3 linked regions of the Tribolium castaneum genome follow. The protein of the gene in region 1 purifies or fractionates together with the protein of each later gene. This does not show direct contact. Links are inferred from orthologs where the notes say so. Each region holds a gene or a part of one and is shown on either strand. Other genes may lie near its edges.

Region 1 (8,741 bases):
ACTTGGAGCAAAAATAAATATTTGGGTTTTTAGGTGCACCCCAGTTACAAATGTTGTTTGATTCCGTTTGATGGGAAAGAGTTGAGATTTACGGAGTACGAGATTTTGATACTGCGGCCTTAATTGTGTGTTTGCACCTCGTATTATTTGTTTTATAAGTAAATAAAAACCTTCTAGACTTCAAGAGTTTGTTGTTCTTTTAGCTCTAACAAATCTCGTGATATTTATTAATGATAAGATAATGAGATTTATTAGCGTTCTGCGAACTGGTAACAGTTTAACACAATGGAAGGTGAGTACCGTTTTTCTGATTTTCCTTGTTTTCGGAAAATGGGTTGTAGGAGGCTATGGTTTTAGACCGGAATTTTCCCTTTCCGCACCCTTTAATTACCCTCAATATCCCCCGAATCAAAATTTTTACCCTCAATCTCAAAATACCAGTTTTCATAATCAAGGTAAGGACCAGTTTGGGGGGTTTACCGGACTTTATTACCAAGACGGAGCAATAAATATAACACTTACTATGAAATTCACTTCCAGCGTTTCGTTGGGTTGACAGTTCCATCGCCTATGGGTCAGTGCCACCGACGGCCCTCCAAGGGGGCATGGATGGGGATGGGCATCCCATTTACGTTGGTAGAGCCTACCATGAAGGTGACTTGATCCCTGCCAAAGTGATTCCCGGCAAAAACGCCGCCTATGTCTCTCACAACGGACAGGAACACCTCGTTGAAAATTTCCAAGTAATATACTGGGTGTTTCTATTTGATATTTATCCCCTTGTAACTTTTTTTTAAAGTAAAACAAGCATTTTTATCCGCAAAAGTGACAAATATTGTGACTAAATGTCACAGGCAACAGTTCTATTTTTCGGCCATTATATGCATATGCATATTCTTGAGATTTTTTTTTCGAACATATGGACTTTTTTTGGACTTTTAACAACTCCAGAGGGATGTAAAGGCATAGAAAAGTCCATAAAACTATGCTAGAATGGGTTTGTAAAAAAAATATTTTTTTCACGTTTTTGGAAGAAAGTGTATTATTATTACTCAGAAAATTTTAGCAAAAATTCTCATTCACGGCTAAACTATTCCAGAAAGTGGAACTATTTTGTTCCATACCTATACAAAATGATCCGGGGAATCGATTGGCATCGAGAAAATTGCCAAATTCCCAATAGTTTTTTAGTTATGAATTTTTTAAAATTTTACTAATTTTTGCATTTATCTCCAATTTGCTCGAAAACTATTAGTCGGAGAACAATAATTTTTTTTGAAAAAAATAGATAATATAAAGAGCTTTCCAACGATAATACACTTCGTAGGGTTATCTCTAAAAGTTCCGGAGCTATTGCTTGACAAAAGTTCCGGGTACCGAAAATCGACAAAATTTGCGACGAAAATTGAAAAAATCAAACATCAAAAAATCGAACATATGGACTTTTTGTGGACTTTTAACAACTTTTGTGGGTTGTTAAGACATGTAAAAGTCCATAAAAATTTACTGGAGTGAGTTTAAAAAAAATTTTTTTTCACCACTTTGAAGGTAATTTTAGCAAAAAAATTGAAAATTTTAGATCTCGTGAAAAGTTGGTATAATACAGAAAATGAGCCGCTGAATTCAATGGAACAAACCGCATTGCTCCTCGACTTTTAGTTTTCGAGTTATGAATTTTTTAATAAATAACCCGGCGCATCCACCAATTTTAAAATTAAAATATATATTTTTTTAAATTTCTCGAGTAAGCTAGTGTTGTGAAAAGGCTAGTATTCTAAGCAATTTAAGCAGCAGAATTCACTGCAACAAACGGTTTTGCTCTACGACTTTTAGTTTTCGAGTTATAAATTTTTTGGTTGAATAAAATTTTCCACTATAAGAAACAACTATCTTAATTTTTAGCAAAAAATTTTAAAACTTTAGATCTCGTTAAACGTTGGTATAATTCAGAAAATGAGCCGCTGAGTTCATTGGAACAAACCGTTTTGCTCTACGACATTTAGTTTTTGAGCTATGAATTTTTTTTGTTGAATATGGGAAAATAAAGCCCTTTTATATTTTGTTTTATAATCTCGTTATTTAATTTTTTGTATCTGTACAAAAACTAAAAGAAAACAATTTTTCTTCCACCTTGCAAGGTTAATTAATAAGGAAAACGAATTTATTTATTTTTTAAAATTTTCAGGTTTTATGTAAACAATACTTCGAGTGGGTACAATCGCACGCCGGCCACTTGCCACCAGGGGCGGTCCAAGGGGGGCACACCAGCGAAGGGGAGCCCCTTTACATAGGCCGCGCCTACCACGAAGGCTCCCAAACAATTGGCAAAGTACTTAACTCACCCTTATAAATTTTAACCCTTGATCATTTATTTTCCAGATACACCCCAGCCATGGTGTCTGCTACATAGCATACGGCGGCGAAGAAATCGCTTGTCCCGAATACGAAACTTTAGTCCTTAGAATGTAAATAAAGTCATTCTTGTACCCCACTATTGTTCATCTCCGCATCTTCCTCCTCCTCTTCCTCCCCCTCCATTTCATACAAGCGCACCTTCCTCCGATTTTCCGCCAATACGATACCGACACGTCGACTCCCCGACACTGCAAACTCCGCCCCCACCATCCCCTCCACACACTTAAACAGCTTCGGAACCAAACACGAACCGTTCAAACTAACCACGTTAACCGCACCACTAAAAACACGATCTGTCTCCCCCCCATCCACAAACTTGTCCAAAACGCCACCTATCGGTATCTGACTTAAAACTGTAGCTTTAGAAACGGTGTTTTCTTGCAATAAAACCGACAATACTGCACTCGAATATAGTTTAATATCGATCACGTGATAATTATCCTCGGAATTGTCACGGGGGAAGTACAGACGCGCACACTTTATGAAACAATTGCCATCGTCTAGATACACCTGCAGGCCTAGAACGGTCTCAGGCGGCTGCAAGTAACAAAAAAGAATCGATTCTTTGTTTAAGTTGACTTGGGACGTCCGTAACGAATCGCCGCAAAATTGGAAACAATTGAAGTCATTCAAATGACTGAACTGCCTACTAATTTGCTCTCTAGGTGTCGCGAAAATCGCATCGACGCTTTGCTTCAAATGCTTGTACTGTTGTATCAGCGACATCTCTTTGAAGTGCCTCAAAATGGAACTATTTTTTTCGATGCATTGGTTCTGGGCCAAAAAATCAGTCCATTCGTTCCCGGACATGTCTGGTTGGATCGTCAAATTGCCATCGCTTAAATATTGCCCCAACCGCTCCATAATGAACCCCTTTTGTTTGTTATTCCGACTGATGTGGTCAAAGTTTTGCAAAAATTCGGTGATGTAAGCCAGGTCTTGCTGAGTCATTTTGGGGATTTCGTTCGGTATTGGCTCATCCAGAACGTGCATTATTGCCGTGTAGAGCCAGCGGAAGAAGGCCTTGTAATTGATGATGGAGTGATTGATGATTTGCTGCATTTCGCTGCCTTTGATCAAGAAGGCGCCGTTCGAGGAAATGGCGCCGGTAATGGCGGCCGCGTCCAAACCCAAAACCTACAATCACCCAATCACCATTTTTTACACTAATAACTTCTTTTCAATTGAAACGCGTCCTAAACGTGGGAGCGAAAAGCCGAAAAAGGCGTTTTAAAGCCGTCAGGGGTTTCCCCGAATATTTTGGACTTTTTTCACGTAGTATTTGCTCGATTTTAAACTAAATATTTATTTATTTTGCCAGATAGTATTTTGTTCGTTTAAAAAATCAGACACTATATTCGTTTCAAAGCAAACCTGATTGATATTTGTTTGTTTCACTCAATGTAGCTTGTTGCGTAAAATTTCGTCTAAAATACGCCTGTTTTTTAACTATTTCTCAGACTTTGAAATTATCGAACTAAATGTGATTTTTCCATTTTTGTGCATTTTTGATGGTTTTTCTTGCCAAGTTCACACAAAATTAAATTTTAATTTTTTTGTTGAGTTGGCAGCCACCACACACTTGTACCAACCTTATAGCGGTGTTCCAGTCTTGCCATCCCCCTCATTTCGGCCAAGTGATAGGTAACATTCTGCCCAAACTTCATCACATACTTCAGCATCAACTTCTGAATGTTGGAATAACTCATCTCAATCGTCTGCCCGAACTTCTCCAACCCTTTCTTCGTTAAATCGTGTATGAGAAAGGTCTTCATCTCATCCGAGCAAATTCCAAACGTCAGCAAATCCAAAAAATCAGCCGTGACGCCCCCTTCTGGCACCTTGCTCGCATATTTCGACAACTTGTTGTCCATCTCCAGCAAAATGCTCTCCCAGGACTCGGTGATGGTGGTAATAGTGTTGGAGAGATAGGTCACCAGTGAGGTCAATTTTATGTGTTTGAGGGCCAAAGCGAACAGTTCGTTTGTGTGCGTTTTGAAAATTTCCGAATCGAAACAAATCAATTTAACGTTGTTTTCGTTGTCTCGCACTGTGAAAAACATGCGGTTCAGGTCCTCGTTCAAATGCATGTTCTGGATGGAGCAAAGACAGTTGAGAGTTTGCTTCAAGTCAAGGGAAGCGCACGGGAAACAACCGAAAACTCGCACGTGCACGGTGCCCTCACTTGTCCCAATCAGGAGCAAATTAAAGTCGGTTTGCTCTTGCAAAATGTTGGTTTTCTGACCATCGTCGTTGTTGGGGGAATCGAACTGTTGTAGCACCGGTTCGGGCAAAAAATTACCCGATAAGTCCTACAACTGGGAAATTAAACGAGCACTAACATTCGGGTTTTTTTACAATGTGTTTCATGTACTGATTCTGTTTACTGTCTTCGTCAACTGAAGGCAGTTTCCCTTTAACAGTCCGGTCTTGCAACCAATTGAGACATGAAACTTCGCCCTTGATGTCAATAGTGTGCAACACCGACTTATTCTCGACCTTCACAAGCAGTATTTGGCCTGAAATTGCACAAAACAATGGATTTAAATTATTTCCAATACTTTTTTTACAATATTTTACCAGAACTGTACGCAATTGCTATGATTTTGCCGTCAGGCCTCCAGGCAATACTTGTGACCTTTAACCCATCCTTGGGGGCACTGAGACTCCACGCTTTGGTCCAAGTGAGTCGATGAAGAGCCACCTCTCCTACAAAGACACCCAAAAATGCCGGTTACTGCAAATGGGGGTTACCTTTGATATTGGCAAGAGCGACAAGGTCCATACGGTCGCTCCACACCATTTGAACAATCTCACTGGCCACATTGCGCTCTTCGAGCTGTTTAATCGCCTGAACTGTGCTCATTTTCCAACAATTAGTAACAAAAAACAATTTTCAAATTGTAAGGTTACGTTTAATTCTGTCATGGGTACCAACTGTGCGTCTGGACCCGATTTGCTTTATTTAGCCAAATGTGCACAAACAGGCCTAGTCAGGCGTTACGATTCACTTTAGGGTTGTAACCACAATAGATAAACCAACATTTTTGTTATTGTTGGCTTTAAAATGCATAATTTTGTACTTTTTTAAAAGGTAGAGGGTTGGTAACGCTGACCGTTTGTTGAAATTGGTGTCCCAGGTGTCTTGATTACTTCGTTCCAAGTTGGAATTAAACAATCACCATGGATAATTTAGAAGCAAATATCATGGACAAGTCAATGCGTTCGGTCTTTGGTACAAATTATTTAAATTTTAAGTGATAATTATAACCCCATTGCTTCCAGTGGGCAACATCCCCTACGAAGCCACCGAAGAGAAGCTCAAAGACATTTTCGGCGAAGTAGGCCAGGTCCTGTCATTCAAGTACGTTGCCCTGCCCCCTGAAGCCCCCTAACGCCTGAATTTTAGGTTGGTTTTCGACCGCGAGACAGGCAAGCCCAAAGGCTACGGCTTCTGCGAGTACCGCGACCAGGAGACGGCGCTCAGCGCCATGCGCAACCTCAACGGGTACGAGATCGGGGGGCGCAACCTCCGGGTCGACAACGCCTGTACCGAGAAATCGCGCATGGAGATGCAAAACTTGCTGAACCAGCCCCCGGTCGAGAACCCCTACGGCGAGCCGATTCAGGCCGAGAAGGCCCCCGAGGCCATCAGCAAAGCCGTGGCCTCGTTGCCCCCCGAGCAGATGTTCGAGTTGATGAAGCAGATGAAGCTCTGCATTCAGAACAACCCCACTGAGGCCAGGCAGATGCTGCTGCAGAACCCCCAGTTGGCGTACGCTCTGCTGCAGGCGCAGGTGGTTATGAGGATTATTGACCCGCATACGGCGGCTGTGAGTTGGGGGTTTGGGGGCGTATTTATATTTTATTGGGGGGTTTTAGACAATGTTGCATCCGCAAAATCCCGTTCCTTCGTCTTTGACGCCCAAGGAAAAGACTAATCCAGGCCCCATTCCGATTAACAGTAATTATGTCTCGAATCCCACGCCTGTGCAGCCCCCAAGACAGGACTTTCAGCCGGTGCCAGCCCCCGCGATTCATAATAATTCCAATCCGGTCTTCACAGGTGATTTTTTTTATCACAATTGATTATAAATAATAATAATGTTTGCGTTATTGCAGGTCAAGACGTTGATCTAAGATCACTGGACCCCCGAGGGGCTGATCCTCGCCTCAGCCGCCTGGGCGACCAGGACATGCGCACTTTGCCCGGACAACTCCCCAACCCCCTTCCGCCGCCACTTGTCGAAAAGTAAGTAAAATAATTCAACCTTGAGCCCTTTTACTCAAATTTAAACAGTTTCACTAAGCAGGATCAGAAATTGGAAAGGTAAATAACCATTTACAATTGATTAGAAATACAATTTACTGATACTTTTTCTTAGCTTTAATAGGGACCCACGTGGAGGTCCGGCCAACTTCCCATCTGATCCGAGACAACAACAGCGAGCTGACCCAAGACAGAAAAATATGCGTATGTGTGAAGTACGTAATTGAATTGGTTGTTGAAAGTCTGATTTTAGCCCCTCAGCAAAACGCGATGCCTCCGCAGCCGGTCAGAGCCCCGCAGGGGCCCCCCAGTACCCCCCAAGTTCGCCAAGCTGCCAATGTTGCTTCAAGTATAGGTACAGCTGGGGCCTCAGACCAGGAAAAGGCGGCCCTGATTATGCAAGTCCTGCAATTGTCAGATGAGCAGATTGCAATGCTGCCACCTGAACAGCGTAATAGTATTCTAGTTTTGAAGGAACAAATCGCCAAAAGTGCACACCGTTGATTAATTAAGTCATTTCCCCAAATCAGTTTAATTTTTACAGTTTACATGATAATTAAAAAATCTTTAAAATTATTAACATAAACACTATTTACAGTATTGTGTATATATCATTTAAAAATCAACAACAAAAACGCACCCTCTAGAAAGTACAAAATAAATGAGCGATTCCTTCGGTTGTTTACGATTAAATTGTAAACAAGAGGTGGATTTATTCGTTTGCAACTTTCAGTTACAAATCTGGTTGTAATGGTTTTGTTAAAAAATTAGCTAGTTCGGCACGTTGGTACTTCTTGAATGGACGATCCGTCTAAAGCGCTTCCTTCGATCTGGTAACCCATGCTCGCCAACATTGATTCGAATGGGTCCATTGACATGCGATGCTGATTTGTTTCGACTACAGTGGAGATGCATTTGACGATTCGGTTGTTCACTTTGCCGTCCTAAATAAACGACAACGGAAACTCCAACATTAATAAAATTAATAGAAAAAAGTTACTATATTTCGGAGAAAAATTTCCGATCAAGTGACTAAGTTATCCGTTTTCGAAAAATCATACTAGCCTTTTTTTTGGAACCTTTATCGAATTAAAAAAAAGCCGTAATGTAGAGTGGCCAACTTAATTTCAAAGTGAGACCAGCAATTGTGCTTACCTCAGGCCGAGGCGACCATATTTTAACGGCCGTATCAATCCCGCTGGACGCTATAACACAGGCACTAGGGTGTGGTTGAATGCAATTAACTATCGAGTTATCTCCAAAGAGAGCCCTAACCACATTCATACTCTTCTTATCCCAGATAAAAATGATCCCTTCGTCCGATCCTGCACAAATATAATTATCACAATCACCTGAAAGCCGCCGTGAAAAAACCAACACTCTACAACCACCACAAACAACCTAAAAAATTCGCCTCCTTGATATCAGTCGTGGTATTACAATGCCCTATGTAAATCTTCTCAAAATCGAACGAATCCAAACGTAACTTTTTCTCATCATCTTCCACCTTCTTCACTCCCGTCTCCTCAAACTTGACGCTGTTTTTGAGCGCTTGCAACTCCTCAACGAGGAATTTCACCTGCGAGGAGGTTTCACATTCGGGGTAAAGTTTTGTAAAGTGTTTCAACCAAGCGTTGGCTTCGTCTTCCCACTTCATGGCAATTAGGCATTTGATTAATCCAATGTAAGCCTGTTTATGGTCCGGCCAATGCTGAATCACGTGTAAATAATCACGTGCTGCCGCATACAAATCGCCCATCCTAACAAGAAAAAAAAAATTAACAAGCCTTTTTTTTTGGCTATTTGTCTCAATACCACTTGCGTTGGTACGCCTGTAGCGCCCGCCTCATGTAAAAGCAGGCACAGTCCGTGTTTTTCTCAAACAAGTCGGCGCTGACCCCGTTAAGTTCAGCCAACAGTACGTTCTAAAAAAAATTGCATTTTCCTAGTAGTGACTGGGGGGATAATTACCGGTTGGCAACAATTCCGGTAGGGTTGATGGGGCCGTTTAGGTAAGTTTTGGGGGATTTTGAGTTCGTTAATGTGTCGGCTATTA
Region 2 (7,728 bases), on another chromosome or scaffold:
TAGTTGGTTGAATACAAAAACCTCTAAAAATTATAAAATTTTAAATTGAGTTATGGACTAGGATCATAGGAATACGTAGGTAGCAAAATGCAAAGACTTATAAATATAAAATAAAGCTATTTAGGCAATCTATACAGTCCGTTTGAATAAATCAACTGATGCTCTCTAACTTTCCTATCTAAAAACACTTTCAGTTCCTGCAAATTGCACTCAATTGTGGGTCCTTGGAATGCGAACATTTTCAACATTTGGTGGATTCTCTCCAAAGGTAAAGTGTCCAAATTCATCAACATACCCAAAATGTACGACCAGAAAGTCTGTTAAAAAAAATAACATGTTTTCCCATAAACTTCAGTACAGATTGACCTATGATACTGAAATTAGGTTGGCAGCATTGACAACTGACTTTATTACCAACGTAATTTCAAAGTTATAGCCAATTTGTATAGATTTTTTACCTGTAATTCCTCTTCGCGTTGGTCTTGAGCGCTGGCCATCGCCGACTCTGATTCAAAATCTTCAACAACAATATCATCCTGTATATTATTTTCGTTATTTTCCTGTTCCTCCTGTAGATAAAAAACGTCGGGTTCGGGCTCAGTTATGATCCCGTGTGATTGCCAGAAACTCAGTTTGCGCCGTAAAATTGTCGACGGAACGTGCATTACTTTACTCAAAGCTTCCAAAGACCAAGTATCTTGAAACGAAAAAATAAGTCGCTTAAAATCTTGATCTTTTTGACTCACTCTGATCTTGGAAGTGCATCAAAATCGTCGCATGCACCGGTGAAACCGACAAATTCAAAGTCCTATCCGCCAATTCAATTTCAAGATCCACAATTCCTAAATGATTTTTCCAACACAGGGTTCTGCTACCTTTTAAAGTTTCAAAAGCACCAGTGTAACTCTCCATCTGTTTCACCAATTTTTCGTGGAGTTCAAGCTTCTCGTCCTTGAACGCTGGCCAAAACTGTGCGCTTAGGATCATGGCAGACATGGGAATATCATCGTCTGAATAACTCAAGTCTTGCTGAATATGTTGATTGATTCGCTTCGAATCGGCGATATCTTTCAACATAACTTCGCAAAAGTGGAGTTGGGAGTCACCAAAGCGCAACTTCAGGAGTTCAAGATAACGAATTTCTTTCTCGGTGTCGCAGGAGTATTGCGACAAAAGACGATCGGCTAATAAGGTGCGGTATTCGTTGACGAACAGCTCCTTACTGCCGTAGACGTTGACAAGCATTGAGATGATGTCAGAAGTGCGGGGAAGTCCCGAAGATTTGCCTTAATTTTTCGAGGGAATTAGTTATTTATATTATACGTGGGATAAGTCTAATTATTATTGGGAAGGCAGACAAAGCTTATTTGGTTTATAATTGTTGCTTACGTTTCGTCAACTTTTTGGGCTTCTTGAGGACAATAAATAATCATGTAAAATGTAAATGGAAAAAATCAGTTGTCGTTATTTAATAAATCGTTTAAAAAAGCAATTTTTCACATAAGCAGGTGGTTTACAGCACGACCGAGGGGAGAGGAGGGGAGGACATGAATTGCAAATATAGGAAATTAGCACCTAAACAAGTTAATAAGTACAATTTTTTTGTAACAAATAACTCAAAAATAAATATTTTTTTATAATTTAGTTTGCTGGTTGGTGACTAAGCACTAGAATTATTAAATTTAAATAAACTGTCACCGTAAGAAGAAAAAATCATTTGTCAAAAGTGACTATTCTCTGTTTCAAAACTATGGAAATGCCAACGTCGATTTCCCTCAAAGCGATAAAAAGACACTTACTGGGGACGACATCTACCGGATCTGGGGTCCACGTTTCCCAGTCTTCAACCCCCTCATCGACCGAAATGTTCTCGTCCACTTGCACGGCTTCGCCCCGGACCAGCTCTTCAGCTAAATCATTTGGGCCCTCTTCAGTCAAACTACCCACCACACACCTGTATTAAAAATTTCGCCCTATTTCGGAATTATTGTACACAAAGTGCCCCTTAATTGTGGAAATTTGACACTTAAATGTCATTCAAGGCCAACTACACTATTTATTGTCTTTCCGAAATTCCAGTTAGCTATGAAAATTTGACACTTAAACGTCAAATATGCCAACTAGACCATTTTTTTTTAATTATTAAACCTTATTGTGTCTTCCCGACTCCTTAAATACTGATGAACCGGTTGAGTAATTGTCTCTAGAAGCAGTCCACAGGGGTCCAAAATCCGCAATGACCGAATTGTAGCCACGTAAGCCGTCAGAACGTCAAACGTGCTTACTCCTGGATGTAATAATCTTGTTTCAATTGCTTTTTGCAACGACCGAGTTAAGTGGGGTTTTAGGTCGGTTTTTGGAAGGCATAGTCGAAGGTCGTCAAGGGCCGGAAGAGAATCAGGATATTCTGAAAATATTTGATGACAGACTGCCACAAAAACAATAATTTTTACCAATTATGATGTTAAATAACTGATCTATTCGTATTTTGGTGTAAGTGTTGTATAAATAATTGATTAGTTTTTTGTCAAACTCATCCATGGCCTTGACTGCCGAATTATGAAAGTAAATTTTTTTCAACCATGAAATAACAACCGTTTGAAGCCACTGAAAATAATTCGTATAATCGATTCAAGAAACGACTGATTTCTACCTTTTCTAGACTCTCAATGTGCGAATTATCAAAATTGTCTTTACAGATTTTCTGGATATGTGTCTGAATGTAACTATAAATTAAATCAGTGAGAGCCTGGCCAACTAACGGTTCCAATAAAGTCATCTTGCCCAATTTCCTAGACACAAATATTTGAGTAAAAAAATAAAAAACAAAACTATTTACTTATTAGTTTCTTCAAACATTTCACGACAAGAACAGGAAAATTCCTCTTGCATGCACACAACACACTCCCCACTTGTGCTATTTTCTTCCTCCGGGTCCTGCATTTTAAGCGCCGTTTCGTAAAAATTTACTATCATCCATTCATGATCAATGGGGAGTTGGGATAACAAGACGGCCCTAACGATTAATTTTAAAGCTTCATGCAGGCAAGTTTGATTGTACACTGGTTTAGTGAAATTGCTTGCTTCTCTCAACAGTATCAACTTGTTAATAATTAAATCGAGCTGCACATAATTGTGAAACAAAAATTTAACCACACTGTAGAACTCGTGAAAAACTGCCGCCTCGTTCTCGGTTTTCTTAAAGTGGGACCAAAAATCTGGGACTATTTCCTTCCTCAAACGTTCTTCTATTTTAATTATGACCAAATCCTGAATTTGCTGTGTTAAATTGAGCCTTTTGATAATGCTGATTGCCTCAAAAGGGGCAGAGTCGAAATCATTATCAGGGATCTTTGAAGGACTTTCTAAGATTGGAAAAGCTTCTTTAATCGTAATCCACGCACTTTTTAAGTCCAGGTTTTGATTATTCATTGTAAAAATAATAATTGCTGAACGTAAAAAACTGACAAACTTTTAGGTTCTGTTCCTAGAATAACACTTTTATAGAAGCGGAACATAATGGTTGGCAATGAATTCCTAGCTGAAGCCATCTAGCCGCATCATCACGTACTAAAAATGGCGCAAATTTAAAATAATTCCGATTACTTTATATTTTTTTAATTTTTGCTCACGTCAAAATGATGCCAATACCTTATCAAATACAATTATTATGAAAATTTCTTAATTGTATTTGAAAAGGTGGATCCACAGACAGCACAGATGGAAGAATTTTACCCAACATGACACGATCACATTTAATGTTAAAGATATTTATTAAATCCATTAAGTTTACGAAACTAATAGTCGTCACCGAATCGATGATAAAGACATACTTGCAATCAGCCAAACTGGCACCGGTCTGGCACCTTATGTTTGCAACTTCTGTCTATGGGAGTCTCCTCGCAGTGTGACTCACTTGCGGTTCGATCTCAAAAAACTCACTTTTGGGAAAAACGCACCTATCTACGTAAACCTTCTGGAGCTCATTACTACGTTATATTTTTGGAGATCATGTTGTTCCTAACCGATAGTAGGCAATAGTCTAACCTAAAGACGACACTTTGATCCACTATAATAATAAAAATTAACGTGATATTATAAAAAATAAACTCAAATTAAAATCAACAAAAATGGCGATTCAAGTAAAAAGTGAGTGAAAATAAAAATTATTTTTCTAATGTAATTTTCAATTTGCACAAGAAAATTCATAGTGTACGGTCATCAGGGCACTCAGAGGAATCGTTTGGTGTAAGTTTCAGCTTGAAAATCCAGAAGTAGTTAAAGTAAAAAATTACCAAGTTATACTTTATGTTTTATTACGTGGTAAAGTTAACAACACACGTTAACATACCCTTTATAAACGTTTAAACACCCTTTTTCATGAAAAGGTTGACACGAGAAGTGCATTTTTCAATAAATCTCACTGAAATTTATGTCGTTGACTCAAGGTAGATTTGTCTGTCCTTAAACATGTTCAATAATAATTAATAGCGCTCTAGAAGAGCAGGAAAGCACACAAAAAACATTAAAGTTAAAATTTAACACTTCAGAAGAGAGCATAATACACCCTAACCCTACTTTCTGAACTTTTGTCCTTATCTGGCAATAGCACATAATAAAGGTAGAGATTTCGACCCTAAATATCCTATCATAACGCTCTGAAAGGGCAGAGATGGAGACAAAATTCATAAAAGTGTAAATTTTGTCATTTTCGGGTGACAACATAACCCTACTTTTGAAACCTACCGAATTTTCAACAAAACGAAACAAACAAACAATGTTGCTATACGCATTGCGATACCACTAATTTTCGCACCAAAATTTCACATTGCCAGTTTCTGTTTAAATAAAAACATGCATTTTTATTTTTCCATTGACTGCATGCGAAACTTTTATAATTTTAGACGTTTATAGGCAAATACATTTGTCATAATTAATTTTTTTAGATCAATGCTGTTCTATTTTAAATAATTCTGTGTATGAATGTTTCTAAATTTGACGAATTTTTCCAGTGAATATTTCTGGTAATGACTTGTTTTAGACTTAAGTGACGTCACATCCGTGACGTGTCCCGAGGTTAGGTGTGCGGCGCAGGCGGCGAGAGCGCTTCAGTCGACAGCGAGCAATGGCACGGGTCAGATCGTGAGCGGGAAGCAGGAGGCGAGGTGAGTCGGGTCGGTTTATTTAAATTATTGTGTATTGTGCGGTTTCCTTCAATTTATTCAGTTTGTTACTTGCCGTTGTCGCGAACGGACGTGTGCTCAAACAAATCTAAATTTTCCGGTTTAAATTTTCAATTCGGTGACTAGTGATCGCGTTTGAGTGACACATTTTAAATACAGTAAATAAAATTATAATCAAACACTCAAATAATTAATTGCCACGTAATAATTTTGTCTTTAATTTCAATGAATGAAAGTGGCTTGCTCAAAATTTAATGCAAATAAACATTTTTTTTTGGTTTCATTTTTATTATTATTTTTTTTAATGCTACAAACGGTAGCCAACGTGGAAGCGATATGAAGGTAGGTGTATTTTATTGCTGTGTCGTATTTATTTATTTCACAAACCAATAATTTCATAAAACTTAATTGCAATTAAAATCTTTAAATGCGGTATTGAAAAGTGATATTTTGAGTGACACATTTTAAATACAGTAACTATAAATAAAATAAAACACTCAAATAATTTATTGCCACGTAATTTTGCCTTTAATTTCAATGAATGAAAGTGGCTTGTTCAAAATTAATGCAAATAAACCTTTTTTTTTTTTTCATTTATATTATTATTATTTTTTTTAATGCTACAAACGGTAGCCAACGTGGAAGCGATATGAAGGTAGGTGTATTTTATTGCTGTGTCGTATTTATTTATTTCACAAACCAATAATTTCATAAAACTTAAATGCAATTAAAATCTATAAATGCGGTATTGAAAAGTGATATTTTGAGTGACACATTTTAAATACAGTAACTATAAATAAAATAAACCACTCAAATAATTTATTGCCACGAAATTTTGCCTTTAATTTCAATGAATGAAAGTGGCTTGCTCAAAATTTAATGCAAATAAACATTTTTTTTGGTTTCATCTTTATTATTATTTTTTTTAATGCTACAAACGGTAGCCAACGTGGAAGCGATATGAAGGTAGGTGCATTTTATTGCTGTGTCGTATTTATTTATTTCACAAACCAATAATTTCATAAAACTTAAATGCAATTAAAATCTATAAATGCGGTATTGAAAAGTGATATTTTGAGTGACACATTTTAAATACAGTAACTATAAATAAAATAAACCACTCAAATAATTTATTGCCACGAAATTTTGCCTTTAATTTCAATGAATGAAAGTGGCTTGCTCAAAATTTAATGCAAATAAACATTTTTTTTGGTTTCATTTTTATTATTATTTTTTTTAATGCTACAAACGGTAGCCAACGTGGAAGCGATATGAAGGTAGGTGTATTTTATTGCTGTGTCGTATTTATTTATTTCACAAACCAATAATTTCATAAAACTTAAATGCAATTAAAATCTATAAATGCGGTATTGAAAAGTGATATTTTGAGTGACACATTTTAAATACAGTAACTATAAATAAAATAAACCACTCAAATAATTTATTGCCACGAAATTTTGCCTTTAATTTCAATGAATGAAAGTGGCTTGTTCAAAATTTAATGCAAATAAACATTTTTTTTTTATTTCATTTATATTATTATTATTTTTTTTAATGCTACAAACGGTAGCCAACGTGGAAGCGATATGAAGGTAGGTGTATTTTATTGCTGTGTCGTATTTATTTATTTCACAAACCAATAATTTCATAAAACTTAAATGCAATTAAAATCTTTAAATGCGGTATTGAAAAGTGATATTTTGAGTGACACATTTTAAATACAGTAACTATAAATAAAATAAACCACTCAAATAATTTATTGCCACGAAATTTTGCCTTTAATTTCAATGAATGAAAGTGGCTTGCTCAAAATTTAATGCAAATAAACATTTTTTTTGGTTTCATTTTTATTATTATTTTTTTTAATGCTACAAACGGTAGCCAACGTGGAAGCGATATGAAGGTAGGTGTATTTTATTGCTGTGTCGTATTTATTTATTTCACAAACCAATAATTTCATAAAACTTAAATGCAATTAAAATCTATAAATGCGGTATTGAAAAGTGATATTTTGAGTGACACATTTTAAATACAGTAACTATAAATAAAATAAACCACTCAAATAATTTATTGCCACGAAATTTTGCCTTTAATTTCAATGAATGAAAGTGGCTTGCTCAAAATTTAATGCAAATAAACATTTTTTTTGGTTTCATCTTTATTATTATTTTTTTTAATGCTACAAACGGTAGCCAACGTGGAAGCGATATGAAGGTAGGTGCATTTTATTGCTGTGTCGTATTTATTTATTTCACAAACCAATAATTTCATAAAACTTAATTGCAATTAAAATCTTTAAATGCGGTATTGAAAAGTGATATTTTGAGTGACACATTTTAAATACAGTAACTATAAATAAAATAAAACACTCAAATAATTTATTGCCACGAAATTTTGCCTTTAATTTCAATGAATGAAAGTGGCTTGCTCAAAATTTAATGCAAATAAACATTTTTTTTGGTTTCATTTTTATTATTATTTTTTTTAATGCTACAAACGGTAGCCAACGTGGAAGCGATATGAAGGTAGGTGCATTTTATTGCTG
Region 3 (5,648 bases), on another chromosome or scaffold:
ATATACACCACAAAATAAAAAATAAGGAAACTACAATAACATAAAAATTCACCTTAATCCTAATTAACATTTAAGTTTTCTGCAGTTTTTATCATTTCCAGGTAAAATTAAATTAATAAACATTATATTACATTGCTTAGAACGTCTGCAATTCGATAAATAGGATTGTTCTGTAGTTCTGAATACAGAAAAGTGATTTATTTTGTATCTCGTTCCCGTAATTTGAATATGAACACGTATTAAAATATTCCCACCTCGGCTGTAATGACTAAAACATGGAAAGTGCAGGTATGGATAACGTGTTGAAAAACGTCCAAACAATCCAGGACCGTGCCTCGCTTTCTTCCAAAAGACTGACACTGACGAGAGCTTCGCGCCAGTCAACAATTTTGTCATACTCAACAAGTTCCATAACCCCCACAGTATTAGAGAAAGAAGGACCAAGGTATGATTGAAAAATTTATTCAATTATCATCTACATAAGTTATTATAAGATTTTCCCCATCCATAATAACACCATCACTGATCAGTTTTTCAAGACCGTCCGCCAGATTTTTCGAAATTTCACCACTATCTTGTTTAAACAATCTTAATTTTTTTTCACCACTCTTGTTATTATCATTCCTCAATTTACACTCACTTGCAATTGCATCGATTGCGCGCCCCAAACTCCAAATTTTTGAAACGAAAACGGGGGTCACGTGCCCCGTTTCAGGGTGTGTAACATTGAAGTAAACGCGGTCTGAAGTTGGAATACTATTTAACCCCTTCGCTTTATTTTTAATTTTCATGAGTTGTACTTTGTTTGCCAAATTTTTACCCTTCTTTTTCGCCGCGATTAAATTTTGCTCGATTTGTTTATCAACCGCGCTCTTAGCTTCATTGAACTGCCTCACAGGCGCAGCCAGTTTCTCCCTTTTTTGGGCGAGAGTTTCCTCGTCTGGCTCGCTACACTGGGTGATATGCCGGTGTTTTATACAGAAATGTTTACGACAAGTGGAGCAAAGCAAAGGGACCAAACTAGATTCGTGACAATTTTCGAACGAGCATTTGAACACGTTTTGAATTTTTTGTGGTTCTACCTCAACATTCGTTGAGGTTTCACACACTTGGACGTGTTTGTTGAAATGTTCCGAGCAAAATTGTTTGCCGCATTTGCATTGTAAAGGGAGAAAATCTAACTGCTGGCAGTTTGAATGGGCGCATTGCTGACCTAAATTGGGGAGCTCCATCACTGGTGTTCGCTTAGTGCACTGAGGGCAATGTCGGTCCACTTTTGTTCTTGCTCCTGGAGGGTTAAGTGGATGTCTCCGGAGTCGGCCTCGGGGTCGGCGAGCTCGTGCGTGGGGACGTTGATATCGTCGTGAGGCAGCTTCTCGGAACGCCACTTATCGTCAATTAAATCAACAAAGTAACCATCAATAGTCACTGAACTGTCCATTCCTAGAAAGTGGGGTTATGGCAATTTTACACAAAAAACCTAACAAGAAATACAAATATTCTGCCTTAGAATACAGCTGTTAAAGGCACTTACTAAATTTGGGAGCACAGTGATTCAGCAAATTGCCAAAATGAACACAAATAAATTTACCTCCAAACGTTTTTTCTAGTTTCTTTTAGTTTTGTTCTAAATAATTGGCGACGCTGTGCCTGGCGCGAATTTAAATTTACTGATATTTATTTTAAGAATCAATATTACGCAGAAGACTGATTTGATACTGCGAGAAATGGACAATATTCAAGCAGCGTTGAATAAAATCAACAGAAAGTGCTACGTTATTAGGCATAAATTGAAAGCAGAGTTGGAGGAAATGGCAATTCGCGAAAGTGAAATACAAGAAATCAAAGATACGTTTGAAAGAACATTTATTACTAACGAATTATCAGAAAAGTATTCGCAAAAGAATCCAGCGGATCGTTTTTGTCGGTAAAGACATCCCCACTTAAAAAACTAATTTTAAGACTGTGGTGTGCCGGACAGGTTTATGGACGAAACTTTTAAAAAAACTGGCGCTACGATTGATAAACTGCGCCTAAGGACGAGCTCTCTAAAAGTGCAGTACCAGAAAATATGCGCTCAATTAACGCAGAAGAAGTTACTGGGCGAGCACTTGCAAGAGGTGGATTTTGAGCAGCTCGAAATTGATAATAAGCACTTGAGGGAGAAAATCGATAAAAGGAATTTGCTGCTTCTCGAACTGAAAAGAATGAACGGCCGCGCGAATTTACTGCTGAGCAATCAGAAGAAGCATCTGCTCAAGAAAGTGACCGATCTAAAAGTGTATCAAGACACAATCAAAATGCAAGAGGAGTTGGTTCGGAAAATCGACGACGAATGTGAAAAGGTTTCCGAAGAACTGGAGGCAACCAAGGAAGAGCACGATAAAATTAAAACCAAGAGTGAAAATTACGAGGTTCTTGCTCGAATTAAGCAAGTGAGTTTGGCTATCGTACCTTAGGTTCCTTCTGTTTTAGAGTATGTGAAAAAGAAAGCTGAGTTGGGCTTGCTGAAGAAAAATCTAAAGATTTGGGAGAGACGGAAACAAATCAAAGAAGTATTTGTGCGTGCAAGTGGTGTTCGTTTTTAATTTTGTTTTCAGATGGCACTTACTGCCTCTGTGAGGGAAATGAAACACGCGACGGGCTTACCAGCTGCCAAATCTTCTTGGTTTATGTAAGTCTGTGCCGAATTTGATTCGGTTTGAAACTTTTGTAATTGCAGTAATCCTCATGATATGCATCGCGGAAGAGGGTCAGTTGAAAGCACATTTGAGTTTATGTTTGAACGCAAAATGAGGCTTTCGCTGATAATGCAAAAGAAGAAAAGTCGTCGTCGCAAGACGCAGTAATGTAATTATTTTATAAAAATACAAAAAACGTTGAAATAATATGTGCAACTGGTCGGTCGTTTATTACTACCAAAAAAACTAAAACATGTAGGTATAGGAAATGGCAACAGAGAACATTGAATTGTTTGAAATAAATTGCGGCAATATTACTAAGCTTTTAAATGGAAATATTAGATGAAAGGCTGCATTTTTGATAAAAGTTTGTTTGAGCTTAAGAATAATGCATATAGTTCTAATTTGTTCCAAAACACTAAAAATCATTAAAATAATGTAACTAGTTGCGTATACGTAGTTGTAAAACTTGTCTTTACCCGGCGCCTCCACCATATATCACAGGGAAAGATTAAGAAACGTGAATGGTTTTAAAAACGCGGTTTTCAGAAAGCTGGGGTTACCGGAGGTTGTAAATAAATTGACTGTCACAAATAAAATGCCTCAAACTTTCTGCTTATTTTTTTATTTAAAGTGGCCGACACTGGTGCAAGTTATTTAACTACCAAAAAAGTAATAAGATACAAAATATTAACAAAGATCGGTTTTAGTAGATTATGTAGAATCAGAGTCATCAGTTGAGTACCGCCTTGTGGAAGAAGAATTATTTGTATTAGAATTTCCTGTATCTCTAGATGATTGACGAATTATTTCATAAATGCCAAAACCAATTGCCGCAAGTCCTGTTGCAATACGCAAGGATTGAAGAATTATCGTTTCTGTTGAAAGGGATTCTCGTGAAACGAGGCTCGAAGACTGTGATGGTCTGAACTGCTGAAGACTCACTTGTTGATTTCTTCGTCGTTCACGTTCAAGTTGGCGATCTCTATCAAAATCGAATCTTTCCCTGTAAATCGAAAACCGTTCGTCCATTTTCTACGAGATATACGTAGAGATAATTATAGTTATACCTACAAAAACATTAATTGATGTCCTTACCCTGATAAGCCTTTGTTCGTATCTATCATACACGAGACTGCTTCCTAATAATCTAGTATTATGATAATTGTCAAGTGCTCTTGTTTTACAAGATTCGTGGTGATTATTAAGTAATAAAATTGAGGAAAAATTATGATGCATTTGTCGATCATATAGTTCAAAAGAACTTTCAACAGCGTCGTTATGTTGATTATTTATTGTCGCCTGAAACATGTGGCGTTTTCTCAAATTTTTTAAACTGAAGCGCTTAATTATACCGCTAGTCTTGTTTCAACATGTGGTAAACCATCCCCAAGTATTTCAGTATACGTGCCAAAACATTGAAATAAATCATTGGCGGTGATCTCTTCTCCGTTAAAGCGTTTTATTACCAGGTTTTCTGGTTCAAAAATGCGTTCAACTAGTTGCTTAACGTATCGCTTAAAATTGTCATTAATTTCTAGAAATTAATCATTGGTTAAATTCAGTTTTGGAAATATAATTATTTAGAAACCATTTAGATCTCCGTTAAAAGTATGATCGGCCGCTACCCGCTCTCCAGGAAATGGTAACAGGGAGCAATTAATTGTTTGAAATAAATTGCGCACATTATTTCTTTGCTCATTTATTTCGTCGGGAAGCGCATCATGTTGACCGTAAAGCCTGTCTTGAAGCAAAGACTCACCCCCTGGAATACCAAATGGCCTTTCGTAGGGTGCAAGCCAATCTCGGACTAAAATCCAAAGATCTTGAAACGGGCAATCATCATTTGTGAGTAATCTCCCATATTGGCCAAACATCTAAGTATAATGTTTCGTTAAATTTTTTAAATAAGATCAATAATTTTGTAAGAAACCTCCACAGACTCCAAGTCGTTTTGATTCAAATTGCGCATCACGTTATAAATTTGTACGGAACTTATCATTGTACTAAGAGCAAAAATCGTTGCCGAATTTTCTACGGTTGTTTGATTGTCGTATGAGCCTTGAGTATCGAGCAAAACAACCGCAATCTGGAAGTCCAATTTAAAATATTAAATATAAAACCGATCATTTAGCTACCTCTTCATTTGACGAGGGTTTATAAATAGTAAAAATCTCTGGCCACATTAAAATACCATTGGTATGAGCATTAGACCCATGATCCCACAAAAAATCCGACAAATGTGACCCATGTATGGGATCCAACCAATCAGAATTGGGATCAAGTGGAGAACTCCCATGCTAGCATTTTTAATTAAAGTAAATAGAAAATAAAATTCCATACGTACCTTTAGTTTCAGATATCTCAAAAAAAAGTTTAATAAGAAAGATTTGCCTTGTCTGAAAGTTCCCGTTATTGAAAGGACACAGATTTTTTTATTCCTTATTTCGTCCCTCAAAAGAATATTTTGGAGGGCATTTACGTCGAGGCTAATTGAATTATTGTCATTACGAATAATTTGAACAGCCCTCCGAACAGCTTCAGTTGCCATTGTGTCAAACAATACCTTATTACATACAAATACAAACAATATAAATGAACCTAAAAGTTTTCGAATACACATCCACTACTAAAAACAATAATAGATTGTCGAGTTTTTATATATCCATAAGAGGTCCAGATTGCATTATCTTTACCATGTGGCATTATATTTCTAATATTATATTTATTCTATTATTCCAAATAAAATAAAATAAGAAACGACAAAAGTAGTAAAATCAACCTTGTAATAAAATATTAGTGACGCATCAAAATTCTAATGCTTGGGGTAAATTAAAACACAACCACATAATTTTTGAGTTAAAAACTCAGTTTTACAATTTTAAAGACAGGCAGTTCTGTTGTAACCTGTGCCTCCCAAAGTTAGCTCATTTTAATAAATTTTTCTTTTAATTGCAAATTCAGGGG

The links. The genes of interacting proteins can lie anywhere in the genome.
Region 2: the proteins of APC4 (region 1) and mr purify together in Homo sapiens (affinity purification with western blotting; 12 studies listed by BioGRID and IntAct, with this or other methods). This does not show direct contact. The link is inferred for Tribolium castaneum from reciprocal best matches to the Homo sapiens genes ANAPC4 and ANAPC2.
Region 3: the proteins of APC4 (region 1) and anaphase-promoting complex subunit 13 purify together in Homo sapiens (affinity purification with mass spectrometry; 9 studies listed by BioGRID and IntAct, counting the BioPlex papers as one, with this or other methods). This does not show direct contact. The link is inferred for Tribolium castaneum from reciprocal best matches to the Homo sapiens genes ANAPC4 and ANAPC13.

Annotation. Positions count from the first base shown.
Region 1 is NC_087400.1:319,916-328,656, reverse strand, and holds APC4 (anaphase-promoting complex subunit 4), read right to left. Parts: upstream 5,388-8,741; 5' UTR 5,282-5,387; coding exon 5,170-5,281; intron 5,125-5,169; coding exon 4,996-5,124; intron 4,935-4,995; coding exon 4,774-4,934; intron 4,728-4,773; coding exon 4,008-4,727; intron 3,553-4,007; coding exon 2,476-3,552; 3' UTR 2,470-2,475; coding exon of another isoform or gene 2,380-2,469; 3' UTR 2,330-2,379; coding exon of another isoform or gene 2,186-2,329; 3' UTR 2,119-2,185; downstream 1-2,118. Other genes in the region: uncharacterized protein LOC659212, read left to right, coding at 34-116, 273-292, 342-455, 541-743, 2,186-2,329, 2,380-2,469; CstF64 (cleavage stimulation factor subunit 2 tau variant), read left to right, coding at 5,599-5,650, 5,701-5,779, 5,825-6,248, 6,298-6,481, 6,538-6,667, 6,716-6,745, 6,801-6,889, 6,939-7,189; WD and tetratricopeptide repeats protein 1, read right to left, coding at 7,453-7,629, 7,841-8,037, 8,087-8,445, 8,501-8,610, 8,657-8,741. UniProt on the Homo sapiens protein: Component of the anaphase promoting complex/cyclosome (APC/C), a cell cycle-regulated E3 ubiquitin ligase that controls progression through mitosis and the G1 phase of the cell cycle.
Region 2 is NC_087394.1:29,186,362-29,194,089, reverse strand, and holds mr (anaphase-promoting complex subunit 2), read right to left. Parts: upstream 3,528-7,728; 5' UTR 3,433-3,527; coding exon 2,840-3,432; intron 2,793-2,839; coding exon 2,654-2,792; intron 2,608-2,653; coding exon 2,454-2,607; intron 2,408-2,453; coding exon 2,149-2,407; intron 1,955-2,148; coding exon 1,800-1,954; intron 1,287-1,799; coding exon 747-1,286; intron 698-746; coding exon 459-697; intron 318-458; coding exon 117-317; 3' UTR 98-116; downstream 1-97. UniProt on the Homo sapiens protein: Together with the RING-H2 protein ANAPC11, constitutes the catalytic component of the anaphase promoting complex/cyclosome (APC/C), a cell cycle-regulated E3 ubiquitin ligase that controls progression through mitosis and the G1 phase of the cell cycle.
Region 3 is NC_087396.1:19,125,424-19,131,071, forward strand, and holds anaphase-promoting complex subunit 13, read right to left. Parts: upstream 1,669-5,648; 5' UTR 1,535-1,668; intron 1,444-1,534; 5' UTR 1,442-1,443; coding exon 1,232-1,441; downstream 1-1,231. Other genes in the region: uncharacterized protein LOC100142251, read left to right, coding at 289-445, 1,688-1,927, 1,982-2,414, 2,460-2,555, 2,601-2,674, 2,723-2,847; AN1-type zinc finger protein 1-like, read right to left, coding at 465-1,232; atlastin, read right to left, coding at 3,396-3,716, 3,780-3,983, 4,037-4,218, 4,273-4,558, 4,615-4,770, 4,820-4,981, 5,029-5,304. UniProt on the Homo sapiens protein: Component of the anaphase promoting complex/cyclosome (APC/C), a cell cycle-regulated E3 ubiquitin ligase that controls progression through mitosis and the G1 phase of the cell cycle.